2 linked regions of the Drosophila melanogaster genome follow. The protein of the gene in region 1 purifies or fractionates together with the protein of each later gene. This does not show direct contact. Each region holds a gene or a part of one and is shown in the gene's direction. Other genes may lie near its edges.

The links. Proteins that work in one complex are often made in the same cells at the same time.
Region 2: the proteins of ics (region 1) and Ilk purify together in Drosophila melanogaster (affinity purification with western blotting, with the first as the bait; one study listed by BioGRID). This does not show direct contact.

Annotation. Positions count from the first base shown.
Region 1 is NT_033779.5:13,637,888-13,644,619, reverse strand, and holds ics (icarus), read left to right. Parts: upstream 1-2,017; 5' UTR 2,018-2,600; intron 2,601-3,347; exon of another isoform or gene 3,348-3,349; 5' UTR 3,350-3,371; coding exon 3,372-3,510; intron 3,511-4,138; coding exon 4,139-4,760; intron 4,761-4,823; coding exon 4,824-4,914; 3' UTR 4,915-5,173; downstream 5,174-6,732.
Region 2 is NT_037436.4:21,214,762-21,220,691, forward strand, and holds Ilk (integrin linked kinase), read left to right. Parts: upstream 1-2,139; 5' UTR 2,140-2,302; coding exon 2,303-2,391; coding exon of another isoform or gene 2,392-2,395; exon of another isoform or gene 2,396-2,805; coding exon 2,806-2,971; intron 2,972-3,029; coding exon 3,030-3,575; intron 3,576-3,637; coding exon 3,638-4,183; 3' UTR 4,184-4,479; downstream 4,480-5,930. Other genes in the region: CG10508 (uncharacterized protein), read left to right, coding at 1-351, 612-740, 815-1,022; Trmt112 (tRNA methyltransferase subunit 11-2), read right to left, coding at 1,368-1,562, 1,716-1,817, 1,883-1,960.

The DNA of each region.
Region 1 (6,732 bases):
TATATTTCTGTTGCCAACAGTCGGATCGAATTATTCGGTCCACTTTAAGCCCACTTGAAGCTATTCAATCAGCCGACAACTCTTTCGAACTGTGGTCGTTCAATTCCGTGAGAAAGGGACACAAATTAGTGAGGGCAGGCAAGTGCCATCAATTAACTAGAATCCGGATCGATTATTTGCCGCTCCTACGCACATTCGCACATTGGCATGGATAACATTTAAACGAAGTAAACACTTAATGCGAATTTATGGCCGCCAAATGTCCAATTTGGAATTTAAGCGAGCTTGGCAATGAAGAATTTATGGTTTTTGGTCGCTATTGCGGTTAGAATTTTACATAGAAAATCGAACTGCAAAGTTCAATATAATTTTATGAAAGAATCGATTACCTAACAAAGGACACTTCTCAGGCTTTGATTTTGCTACACAATACAATACAATGCCTTAATTGCAATCATATATTAATATGAGTGGAACTGAGCATAAACTATGTATTTCCAAACATTTTGGCCACCATTTCAAAATTAGCACAATTTGCGCCGAGCTGCAAAAGTTTGTCAGCAGGAAAAAAAGGCAAACAAAAAGTTAATTAAAACAAAAATTACGGACAGTGGCCGGCGGTCGTTTGGTGGCGACTGTGCCGCAGCATTAGCAGTGCAGCCAAAAATGCAGCCGAAAAATCTGCGCGCCATCTAAAACAAAAATTAATTTTTGGGCCAGGGAAAGTTTTTATTTCCCTCCCATTGCTGTTGCTGTTGTTCTTGTTGTTGTTGTTGTTTGCTGGCCAGGCGAGAGTTTGCATTGTTTTGCATATTTTATACGGCGGAAGTGTATACGGCAAAGGCACTCGCCATCATGCCAACTACCCCAACCCAAAAAAAAAAAAAAAAAAGCGAAAAAAATGGTATGTGCAACACGCAAATTATGCAGGCGCATAAGACAAACTTTCTGTTTTGCGGATTCGACAACCGGCGGGATGAAAATTAATACGAAAGCCAAAAAACGGGGTTGCCCCCCCACCCACACAAACATCTAGTTCCTACGTATTTCTGAGATCCAAAACTGCATCGGCAACTGGAGCACCGCAGAGTAATTAAAAATACAGCCAATGGCCAGAGCAGAAAAACCCCGAGCAGCTTGTACTGAAGGAGATCATATCGGCCATGTTTGCAGCCCAGAAATCTGAGTCCCTTCAAAATTTGCATCTAGCATCCATCAAATAGATAAAATTGAAGAAATGTCTCAGCTTGCAGTTCTAATAAAAACTATTAAAAAAGAAAAGAAAATTAAACTAAAATGCATTAAAAAGGGTAAAAGCCAACATGACTATATTGAATTGATATTTTATTAAATGTGCTCTAAGCTCATTTCTTATTGCACTGCAGTTTTCAGTTTATAACGGTATAAAATTCTTAAGTGGCTAAGTAATAAGAAACAGACTTACTTTATTATTACTGTTTCTATATTGTTTTCTTTCGGTTCTAAGCGCTTAAAATAGCTTATATTGTCCCAGACTTTTTGAGATTCAGGCACACAGCAAATGGCTGCCGAATTGCAAACGCGATTTAAATGGGTAATGCCAGGACATGGCGATTGTTTTATAATGCAACGTCCCCACTTTCCACTTTTGCGCCTGCAAGCTTATTACAACGGTTAGCTTTATATTTACTATCCCAAGTCGTGTCCTTACTCACTAATATATCGAAGTTTACTTTCATGTGTATATGGTGTGAGCAGCAGAAGTAAGGCAAGAACGTAAAATATAGCGAAAAAAGTCATGATGTCTCACTTCACATGGAGATGTGATAAATCATATTAAAATCTTATATGCGTCAACGAGATGGCTGCATTTAAGATATTAATCAACTGTGTAATTAACTAATCAACAAAGCGCCTATTTCCAAGTCGACAAACCACAGATTTCATGCTTTAGTTATGCCTGTTTTTTGTCTTTTCGATATAATTCAAACTGGTTTCGACACTGTAGTGAAGATGCTGGAGAAAAAGCGAAATACTTTAAACAAAATCAACAAAACCCGGTATTGAGTTTGGGTTCGATTTGTTTTTTATTTTTTCCTGTCTGCCGGCAGTGGCGACAATCGAAAAAGGCAAAAACCAGCCCCCAGCTATTATTCGGATCCCCCATCACCTCCAACTCGCCCACATCCACATCGATCGATCTTGCTGACGCTGCGAGAGATCTTCTCAGTTTCTCGAGACGATCGGACGACGCACGACGCATTCCGCACTTTGGGTCTATTTTCGTGATTAATTTCGAAGAGCGGAGACGTATTCTAATAGGAACCCATGTTCCATTCTGTAACGTGAGTGCCATATAATCTGCAGAAATCAGTACGAATTCGTCCAGATACTCAACAATTTTACGCATACAGTATGAAAAGCCTTGGTGTTTTCCTACAAAAATAGGTCAAGTGCAGTGTTTGTGTAACATAGTGACCTAAAAAACGTTTAAATTCGTTTTCATGTGGATGAAAAGTGCTGAAAACTGACCGAAGAAAAACATATGCTAACAAAAAGTGCAGTTGGCGCAGTTTGAGAGCTACTGAAAGTGGCTGCCAAAACAGTTTTAGAATTACTCTGTAAGTAATTGTGGTTCATTACTTAGTTTTAGACCAACTACACGAAAAATATATAAAAATAAAAATAAATACATTTTACAACAATATTTTATATTTTAATTTAATACATAAATTAATACATAATTTAACATAATACATAATAATAATGTTAAGTCCTTTAAGACATTTGAATATTTCATTAATCGAGCAAAGTAAAAATAAACAAAATTATATCAATATTATTAAAGAATGCATGTTATTATAAATTCAATAAATAAAACACGTTACAATTAAGTTTTTACCAATCACAAGTAAACACACTTTCTACATGTAGATATGATAACATACATCGAACGCGCGTAAAATTTATGTTGGTACCTTTTTATCAACAATTGTTTGGTGAGCTTTGATTTCACATTCATATATAAGTAGATACAAATGAATAATGAACATCTTTTTTTTTAAATAATATAAATATAAATATTATTTAATAAATGAGCTCAATACTTATTATTCGATTAAGTCATTTACAATATCTTACATTGCTTCCTGTCGATGTAAAATTACATATTTCTACTTGTCTGGCAGCCCTGAAATACATATAACAGATATAATAGCTCACATTACAAAAAAATTGCTTACAAAATTTAAAAAAGCATAGAATTAGTTTGCCAAATTCTTTTACTATTCTGCTTTTAGAAATAAAAATTTATTGACTAACCTTCAAAATAATTAATTAGAAATGTATATTTTGTTCTGGTATTTTTTAGGGCGTATTAGGAATCAACGAAAATGAGTCAGTCTTGTATACCAGTGAGCGCAAAGATGTCGAAGGCAAAGAAGGTTTTGGATGAAGCCCGAGAAACTCACAATCCCGAGTTGGATTTGGCCGACAAGGGGCTGTCGTCCTTCGAGGAGTTGCCCGGACTGTGTAAGTATCAAAACCAAAGGATCTTGAAGGAATTATACGGATTTTTGCACTTCTGAGTAAACATAATGGTGGGTTACTTCCACGCAGAATGGAGCCTCGCCCAGCTGCTAAAAAAATTGTAAATTAATAATATTCTAGCGTATGTATTTATGTTGTGGTAATAATATTCATTTAAAATGAGTCTAAGCATCTTTTTAAATGGAGTCGCTTAGTTTTATTTATTGTGATGACGCCAGCAGCAAAATATGCATAAGTTTGAGTGTAGAGAACGTAAACAAACACTGTAAATACCGCAAATAAGATGTGTATACATATCTGGGAAATGTACTACAACTCCATAACTATGACTTCATTTACATAAAATTAGAATATACTACAATTATTAATCTTAAAACCATTAAATTTTTGAGAAAAAAAAAACATTGCGCATGCCTCTGCTTATATTGTTGTCCCGCTCCAACATTCGGCGTCTATACTTGTTGCCTGCAATCAGCTGTTTGCATTTAAACCCAGTGGTGAATTCACAGTGCATTGGACAATTATGAAAAACAATCTTTGATATCACGAAAAAGGAAAAATATGTATTTTAAAGAGTTTAGTATTCTTATTAATATAATTTTTTTTGCAGTCAACATGTCCAACATCACGCGCTTGACCCTGTCCCACAACAAGATCAGCGTAATCAGTCCGGGAATCGCGAACCTACTGAATCTGGAGATCCTGAACCTCTCGAACAACCAGCTGACCGAACTGCCCGTTTCGCTGTCGTCCATGCCAAAGCTACGCATCCTCAATGTGTCCATCAATCGGCTGATAAATCTTCCTCGCGGCTTTGGAGCCTTTCCGGTGCTGGAAGTGCTCGACCTGTCCTACAACAATCTCAACGAACAGGTCCTGCCTGGTAATTTCTTTGGTATGGAGACACTGCGTGCTCTGTATCTGGGCGACAATGACTTCGAGTATATACCGAAGGAGGTGGGTCAGCTGAAGAATCTGCAGATACTCGGATTGCGTGACAACGATCTTCTGGAATTGCCCCGCGAAGTTGGGGATTTGGTGCGACTGCGGGAGCTACATATTCAAAACAATAGGCTGCAGGTGCTGCCACCAGAGATCGCCCAGTTGGACCTACTGAGCAACAAGTCGGTCATGAAGATGGAGGAGAATCCCTGGGTCAATCCCATCGCCGAGCAATATCTGCTGGGCATTAGTCACGTCATCGACTACCTCAAAACGGAGACCTATAAGATGTGAGTGCACCATAGATCCATATATCCATAAATGTATATTCATCTGATCCTTTTCCTTGACAGCATCTACAACCGCCACTTGCAAGCAGGACGCAGTGGACCGCCGCCACCCAAAGCTGACAAAAGCAAGAAGGCCTCTCGAATTCGCGCATAGTGATTCTCCACCAGAAGATCCCAAGATCCCATGGAATTACAAATGTGTTCGTCTCGTTCGTTGTTAACCAAACCCGTTTTCGTATACTAATTTATAAGTACTTTTAAACTAATGCGTATTTCTGCAATGTGCCTTGACCCTTAGTTTCACTAATGAAAATAAAACAAAATAATAGATGCATATATGTATTCCTGCTGGTTTAATTTCGGATCCTATGCGCAAAAGAATCGTTAAATAAAGACACGCTTGTATATTTTATAAAATAGTAGGTTTTTCTTGTTTTTATTATCTTTTCTCATATTCATTCTTCTTTTTTAAGAAATTTGTTCATAATCATAATTAATTAGTTTACTTAAAGTCAATTAATTAATTCTTTATTTATTTTAATTAAATTAATAGTTAAATGTTTTTTGTTTTTGTTCTTTGTTTTCTATGTTTGAGAAAAACTAAAAGCATAGTTCTGCTTTGTTCGCTTTGAGTTTGTTTCGTTTCTTTGCATTTTTTCACTTGTCAATTTGAATTGAATACATTTTTTTTTTATCAATTTATGTTATTTAATTATTTTGTAAACGTATTTCGCCTTCACTGTATCTGCAATTCAAATTTAATTTATTCCTTAAAGTATATTTTAGTATTTATATTTATATATTTTTTATAGAGTTTATTTACAAGAGTTAAAGATGTTCTTTTACGAAAAGTCTGGCAGAAAAACAAACAAAAATGTAAATTCATTTATTCAGTAAATTTCTCCAAAATGATAGCACGGAAACGTCTTGTAAATTCGAATTGAGATAATTCCATAGCTATGCGTCACGATATACAAGTTGGATGTGCGAATGGAAACGAAGACAAGGGTTTCAAAAATAATATCATATAGCTTTCAAGCTATAAATGTCTTTTCTTGGAGTAGTACATCAGTCGGGACTCCGTGAGTAGTTGCACGATTAGTTCTTGAGCATGCAAATACGAAACACAGACAAAAACAAAAAACATAAACTAGTAACCTATGAGACTACAACAAAGCAAATTACAAGCACTCGATAGTATCATATATGCATGATCTATGCACTTTAAGATACTTACATAAAAATAGATTTATATGTTGGCAGATATACACGTATATGATAGATAACATTAAACATAATCATCATTGGCAGTTTTGCTACCAGATTGCTAAAACATAAAGCTTTAAACCTAATACTAATAAAAATTGACAATAGAAAATTGTACCTAAGATAGTAAAAATACATGAAATATAAAAATTAGTTACTTCGTTTGCTTTTTCTGCACAAGGAAAATGTATACGGAAAACAATCAAAGCCACGTTCGAAAGTCATACAGAAAAATGCGTTCAGCAACAAATGAATAAGTTTGGATTGTTTCCACCGTTTTTGTTTAAGTCTCGCTTCTTTATTTAATAATTATGGATTTCATACTTTTTGGTTTTCATCGTTTTTTTTTTGTTTTGCTAGTTTACAAATGCAATTTTGACGGCTTTAAATAAACGTTTAGCCTTCGGTACAGATAAATACAATTTAAATGCTTTGTTGTTTCCGTTCTTTTTTTTATAATGACGCTTAATTAATTCGCACTGTTTTTGTTTATTTCATTTTTTTTGTACAAAACACATTTTGTTATTCAAGTGTGTAATTAATTTTGTATTTCGGCCTAGCGCTTAGAAATCTCACCGACATATAGAATGCTTTCTCATACAATTAAACCTTAGTTTTTCTTCATGTATATTACTTGTTTGTTGTGGCTGCTGCTATTTAATAATTGTGTATCCATAATAAATATATACATACAAATGTATATATA
Region 2 (5,930 bases), on another chromosome or scaffold:
GGAGGAGATGAAGCTGGAGACCCATCTGTCATCCATCTCTAGTGCTTCCTCATCGCATTCATATGCCTCACCCCCACAATCACCCCGCATCTTCCAGCAAAGCTACGAACGCCTGACCACCAAGAGCATTTTGGCCAAGAGCGGCCATAACCATTTTGGCCACCAGAGCGATACCAATAACTACAGCATCGACGGCTACCTGCATGGCTCCTCAAATGCTAGCTCCTACTCCTCCTACTCCGCATCAATGACGTCCTCATCGCTGGTCTCGTCGGCCCAGTCCAACTCCTCATCCATCGCGAGGAGGCCAGCTTTCGAAAGTCGTGCTCGCACCAAAACCGATTCACTGAAGTATGCCCGCTAAAACCAAAAACCGTTCCGATAACCGTTTTTTTACCGTTTCGCTAAGTAAAATCAATCGTTTTGCGCATGAGTTTTTCAAGGAGTTCGCATGGATAGTATCGGGAAATCCGTTTTTGAGATATTATTTTTGAACCTGTTAACTATATTCTTTCGGCATGCCTTAAGCTCAATATAAAATATTAAATCTTTGAAATATTTTAGTTTAATATAAAAAGAACTTTTATACAAATTTAACCAATTCTCAACAGACATCGTCAGCACTCCCTTGGAAATTCGCATAATTCGGAATCAGCTGAATTTCAATCTATTATCGAACGAATGGCCAGTTTGGGACCCAATTCCCAGCTAAGCAAGGGTGCAGATGAAAATCTTTTGCTGTAAGTAGTTCAACTTAATGTCGAAGTAATAAAAACAAAGACTCATCTATGAATATAATTAAAATTATTTTCAGAGCCGATTATGTCACCTGGAATGGACCCAACACGAAGCTTCTTCAAAAGCAGATCACTCAAGGACCTAATGCTAGTCTTCTCACAGATCGCACCTATAAGCCAAGGGGTGGGAAATCGGAACTCTGCAAAGGACCCCAGTCCGGATTGGCGAAGGGCAGCATCTACGCCCAAGGCAGCAACAAGAGCGCCAACATCAAATGCAACTAGGCGGGAGTATCTCATCTGGAACCTCCCCCAGAGTGCCAAAGAAGTGAAGATGAATCTTAGTAGCCAAGCACCACCCTCCACATGTTCAGACTTACGATTTATATATGTCGTAGTGTTTTTTGCTCTTATCCTTAAACACCTACCAAATACCACACGAGTACGTAGACTCAACAAAAAAAAAAAAAAAAAAAAAAAAAAACGAAGTCACATTCCATCCAAGCTCCAATTGTTTTTAGTAACTCGTAAATAAACAAACTTTAAAACTAACAAACTTATTTAATATTAATGCGCGTCTGGAGAAAGGGGATTATGGGGATTATGGTACAAAAAGCACATGGGTGTAATCTAGACCTCGTCCTCGTTAAGGAGCATGTTTGGTATACCATCGCTGATGGGAAACACACGACCTGTCTCCGGGCACTCCAGTTGACCCTCGAGCACGTCGATCTCGAAGAGCAGATGGTGAAGCTTCTGCAAAAGCAGTTCATTCTCCACAATGTTTTCAGGCTGAACGGCAGGAATGTCTTCTGTGAGTTCCGCCTAAAAAACAAATTCCAATTATTAACGAATATAAAAAATAACAGGTTTTAATAGTTTAAAACTGATTAAAAATATTTGAAACCAGTAAATTTGAAATCAGTAACACTATTTAGAACCATTCTATGGTTCTTTTAGAACCATTCTATCACTTACCACCTGAGCAGCTCCATAGACCGCTGACCAGTCCAGCTTGGGAAGGATTCTCTCCACAAAAGTTGGATTAAATTCGCTCTCCACCACTTCCTTTTTGTTAATCTAAATGCAAAAACAAATAGACCGTGAAACAATCAATAGCCAGGACTTGGGACACCGGAACTCACCGTCAGTTTCAGGGGAAATCCCACTTTGACGCCCTTGATGGCCACGGAGGTCAAGAAGTTGTATGTGCTGAGTTTCATTTTCGGGCTTGTAATGGTTTAATTAATACAAAGAGATGAGGTAAACAACAATGTTTTTAAATAATAGTTGCGGTGCACGTTGTATTCCTTCTTCTTCTTGCTTTAAACATTCACAATTGGTGTATGTCATCGATACCACGATACACACTTGTCGATGTTTTGCAGCAGTTGGCAACGCGAGCAGTGTGTTAAATATTTAAAACGTCCACACTGCACAAATTTTAATTGGAATTCTCACAACTGTCGCATTTTAAGCGTTTAAATCTGTTTCTAGATGTAAATTAGGTTGGAAAACCTATAATATCAGTGACTGCGAGCGGAATAAAGGAGTGAGGAGTAAAAATGGAGGACATATTCCACTGGTGCCGCGAGGGCAACTCGATTCAAGTGCGCCTCTGGTTGGATGAAACGGAGCACGACAACAATTTGGGGTAAATCCAATAGAGGCAACTAACTCCATCACTTTCTAGTTGCTTTATAGTGCACTTAGAAAGTTAAGCCCTCAAGTAGCAACCCCCTCTACCAGGAACGTTTACTTAGTCATCGCCTAAATACGCCCAAGATTTCGAGGGTCTTTCAAGTCTAAGTGACGTCATGATTTATTCTTGTGTTGTGTAAACAGACGAATCAAATATATAAGTATACGTATGTTCATATTTGCCTGTGTGCATATCGCGAGCATAAAACCCGCTTGCCATGTTTATATTGTTCTTTACTTATAATTAGTCTTATAATCCTTTAAAAAGGACCATACCTAACTCTAAGAGCATAAGTATATAAGGTCTATAATGCTCAAATTCCACCATAATTAAAATAAATAAAACAAATAAATTCGTACACTTTAGAGACGACCATGGCTTCAGCCCGTTGCATTGGGTGGCTAAAGAGGGCCACGCCAAGCTTGTGGAGACTCTGTTGCAGCGCGGTTCGCGTGTGAACGCCACCAATATGGGCGACGACATCCCACTCCATTTAGCGGCAGCTCATGGCCACCGCGACGTGGTCCAGATGGTGAGATAAAACAGAAACCAGCTAGGTAACTTATTTAAGAACTTATCTGCCTCTACAGTTGATAAAAGAGCGCAGCGATGTGAATGCGGTAAACGAGCATGGAAACACCCCCCTGCACTACGCCTGTTTTTGGGGCTATGACATGATCTGCGAGGATCTGCTTAATGCGGGAGCCCAGGTGGGAATCGCAAACAAGGACGGGCACACACCTCTTGAAAAGGCCAAACCCAGTCTGGCCAAGAGGCTTCAGGATCTTGTAGAAAAGAGCGGCAGAGAGGTTAAGGTTATCAGCTTCAAGGAACAAAGCTGGCAGGGATTGAAGACGAGATCCCGGGATGCTACTTTGTCCCGTTTCAAGGGAATCAGTATGGGAGACCTAGACCTGCATACCAAGCTGTCGGTGACGCCATCAGGAGAAACTTGGCGCGGACGCTGGCAAAAGAACGATGTGGTAGCTAAGATCCTGGCCGTGCGTCAGTGCACGCCTCGTATATCGCGAGATTTTAACGAGGAGTTTCCCAAGCTCCGCATCTTTTCGCACCCTAACATTTTGCCTATTATTGGAGCATGCAATTCGCCACCCAATCTGGTGACAATTAGTCAGGTGCGTTGAATTTAAATAACTTCAGAAATGACCGTATAAGGTAACCATTCTATTTTCTTTAGTTTATGCCACGTTCTTCGCTGTTTAGCCTGCTGCATGGAGCAACTGGCGTCGTGGTGGACACCAGCCAGGCGGTAAGCTTTGCCTTGGATGTTGCGAGAGGAATGGCTTTCCTGCACTCGCTGGAGCGCATTATTCCAACATATCACCTGAACAGTCATCACGTGATGATCGACGATGATCTGACGGCGAGAATCAACATGGGCGATGCCAAATTCTCTTTCCAAGAGAAGGGACGCATCTATCAACCGGCTTGGATGTCGCCGGAAACATTGCAGCGCAAGCAGGCGGATCGAAACTGGGAGGCCTGTGACATGTGGAGCTTTGCTATTCTTATTTGGGAGCTGACTACGCGCGAGGTACCCTTCGCCGAGTGGTCGCCCATGGAGTGCGGCATGAAAATTGCGTTGGAAGGTCTGCGGGTCAAGATTCCGCCAGGCACATCGACGCACATGGCCAAGCTGATTTCAATCTGCATGAACGAGGATCCCGGCAAGCGGCCCAAGTTCGACATGGTGGTTCCCATTCTGGAGAAGATGCGCCGCTGAAGGAGAGGGGCAAATTCAATAAATGCCAAGCCAAAATGTGCCTTGAGAAACCTTAGATTTGCCAACTAATTGTAATTACTACTTTGTGTTACCTTTGTCTAACTGAGCCTAACCGAAAACCGTACCGAAATGGCAAAGCAAGTGCAACTGCTCTGTCTAGAGTTTATGTTTCTGTGTCTCACTGTTCTCTACTTATGATTTTCCGTCGATGTTTAGTGCGGGTGCTCGATTTTTTACTTTTTAAGTTCAATAACCATTATGATCGTATTTATACAGAAATATATTTGTTACTAATTAATCAAATCGATCAAATTGATTGTGTACCAAAGCAAATGCGGAACCACTTACGAGGGCTTTAGTCCACAGAGCTTATTCGCTGAGCAGCAAACAAGTCGGGAGCTTTCCGCCGGAGTGGGTGGCAATGCATCAGCGCAGCGGGTCGGGTAACGTGAGCACGGCGGCCCTGACCTGGTTTTCATTTCAGCACGCGATTGTGTGCAGCTCGCGTGGGCAGAGCAAACTCGGCGCTTCAGAAGAGCGCGCCGGCGTGAGAAACTCGCGGCGAGAATGGCGCAAATTTGTTGTATTTGCTCGAAATAATTTATATTTATTATCCAATATGTTTTCATTTATAGGCTTAAGGAAAGTGTGGTATTAGTTATTGGCTGATTTGCCAGTGACACTTTTTATCATCCTTAAGATTTTGTTTTGCTAACGTACTTTATATTATTTAAAATCATCTTTTAATGTTGTTTTATTTTCTTTTCTAAATTGATGTTTAAAGCTCTTAAATTATATTAGACAAGGTACTTGTGATTTCTTTTTATTTATTTTAGCTTATAATATTTTGTTGTTCTAAACGATAATTTTGTTATTTTTTGTGTCATTAAATATCGAAAATATTTGGCAAATTATGATTTACATACTAGGATGAATCATATTTTTTCATAAATAGAAAAAAAGATTTTTATATTTAAATTAAAAATACGTTTTTATATGTATTTTCTTATATATAAATTTATTTATATTTTTTTACATTTAAGCCAATTTGTCTCTCGCTTTCTCCAACCTCTCTCTTGGCCTGGCTCTCACCGGCTAGTGGCTCTCTGTTTATGTTTTTGCGGCAACGCTTCATTCGGGCCAGAATGTTGTTGGTGCGGTAAGCTTGCACTGAGCCATGTGATTGTTTTGCTGGCTCGTTCTTGCCTTTTGCCGCACACATCCTGTGGCAGGTCTCTTTTTGTGTTGGTGTTGCTGCTGCAGCTTTAAAAACTTTTTGCTGCATTTTGTTGTCGCCGTCGTCCTGTCGCTGTTGTAGTCGTCGGCGCTTTTCGGGCCCAGAGGCTGGTCGCTCGGTCTCCGCACGGACCGAAACGGAAAAACGGCAAGCTGCAGTGGCCAAAAGCCGATTTACAGTATTCCACGGCAGTTATGACGGCAGCCAGCCAAACGGCAAGAGCATTTCCGCAAAGGATTCCCCATAAGATTGGAAAAGAAACATCAAAGAAATTTGGTGAAGTGAAGTGCATACGTGGAATAAACGAAAATTTAAGGAACCCCAAAAGCTTTACATTTTAAACTTACCCACACAGCCAAACGGAAAAACACACACACTTTATCTAGTGAACACTTTATCCAGTGAAAGTGAAACATCTAGTGGAATCTTTTAGGCGCAGCGCAAAAAGGCCGTTCCGAATCCTAGTACTTTCACTTCGAAGGCGTGCAATAATATTTGTTTGGACCAAAA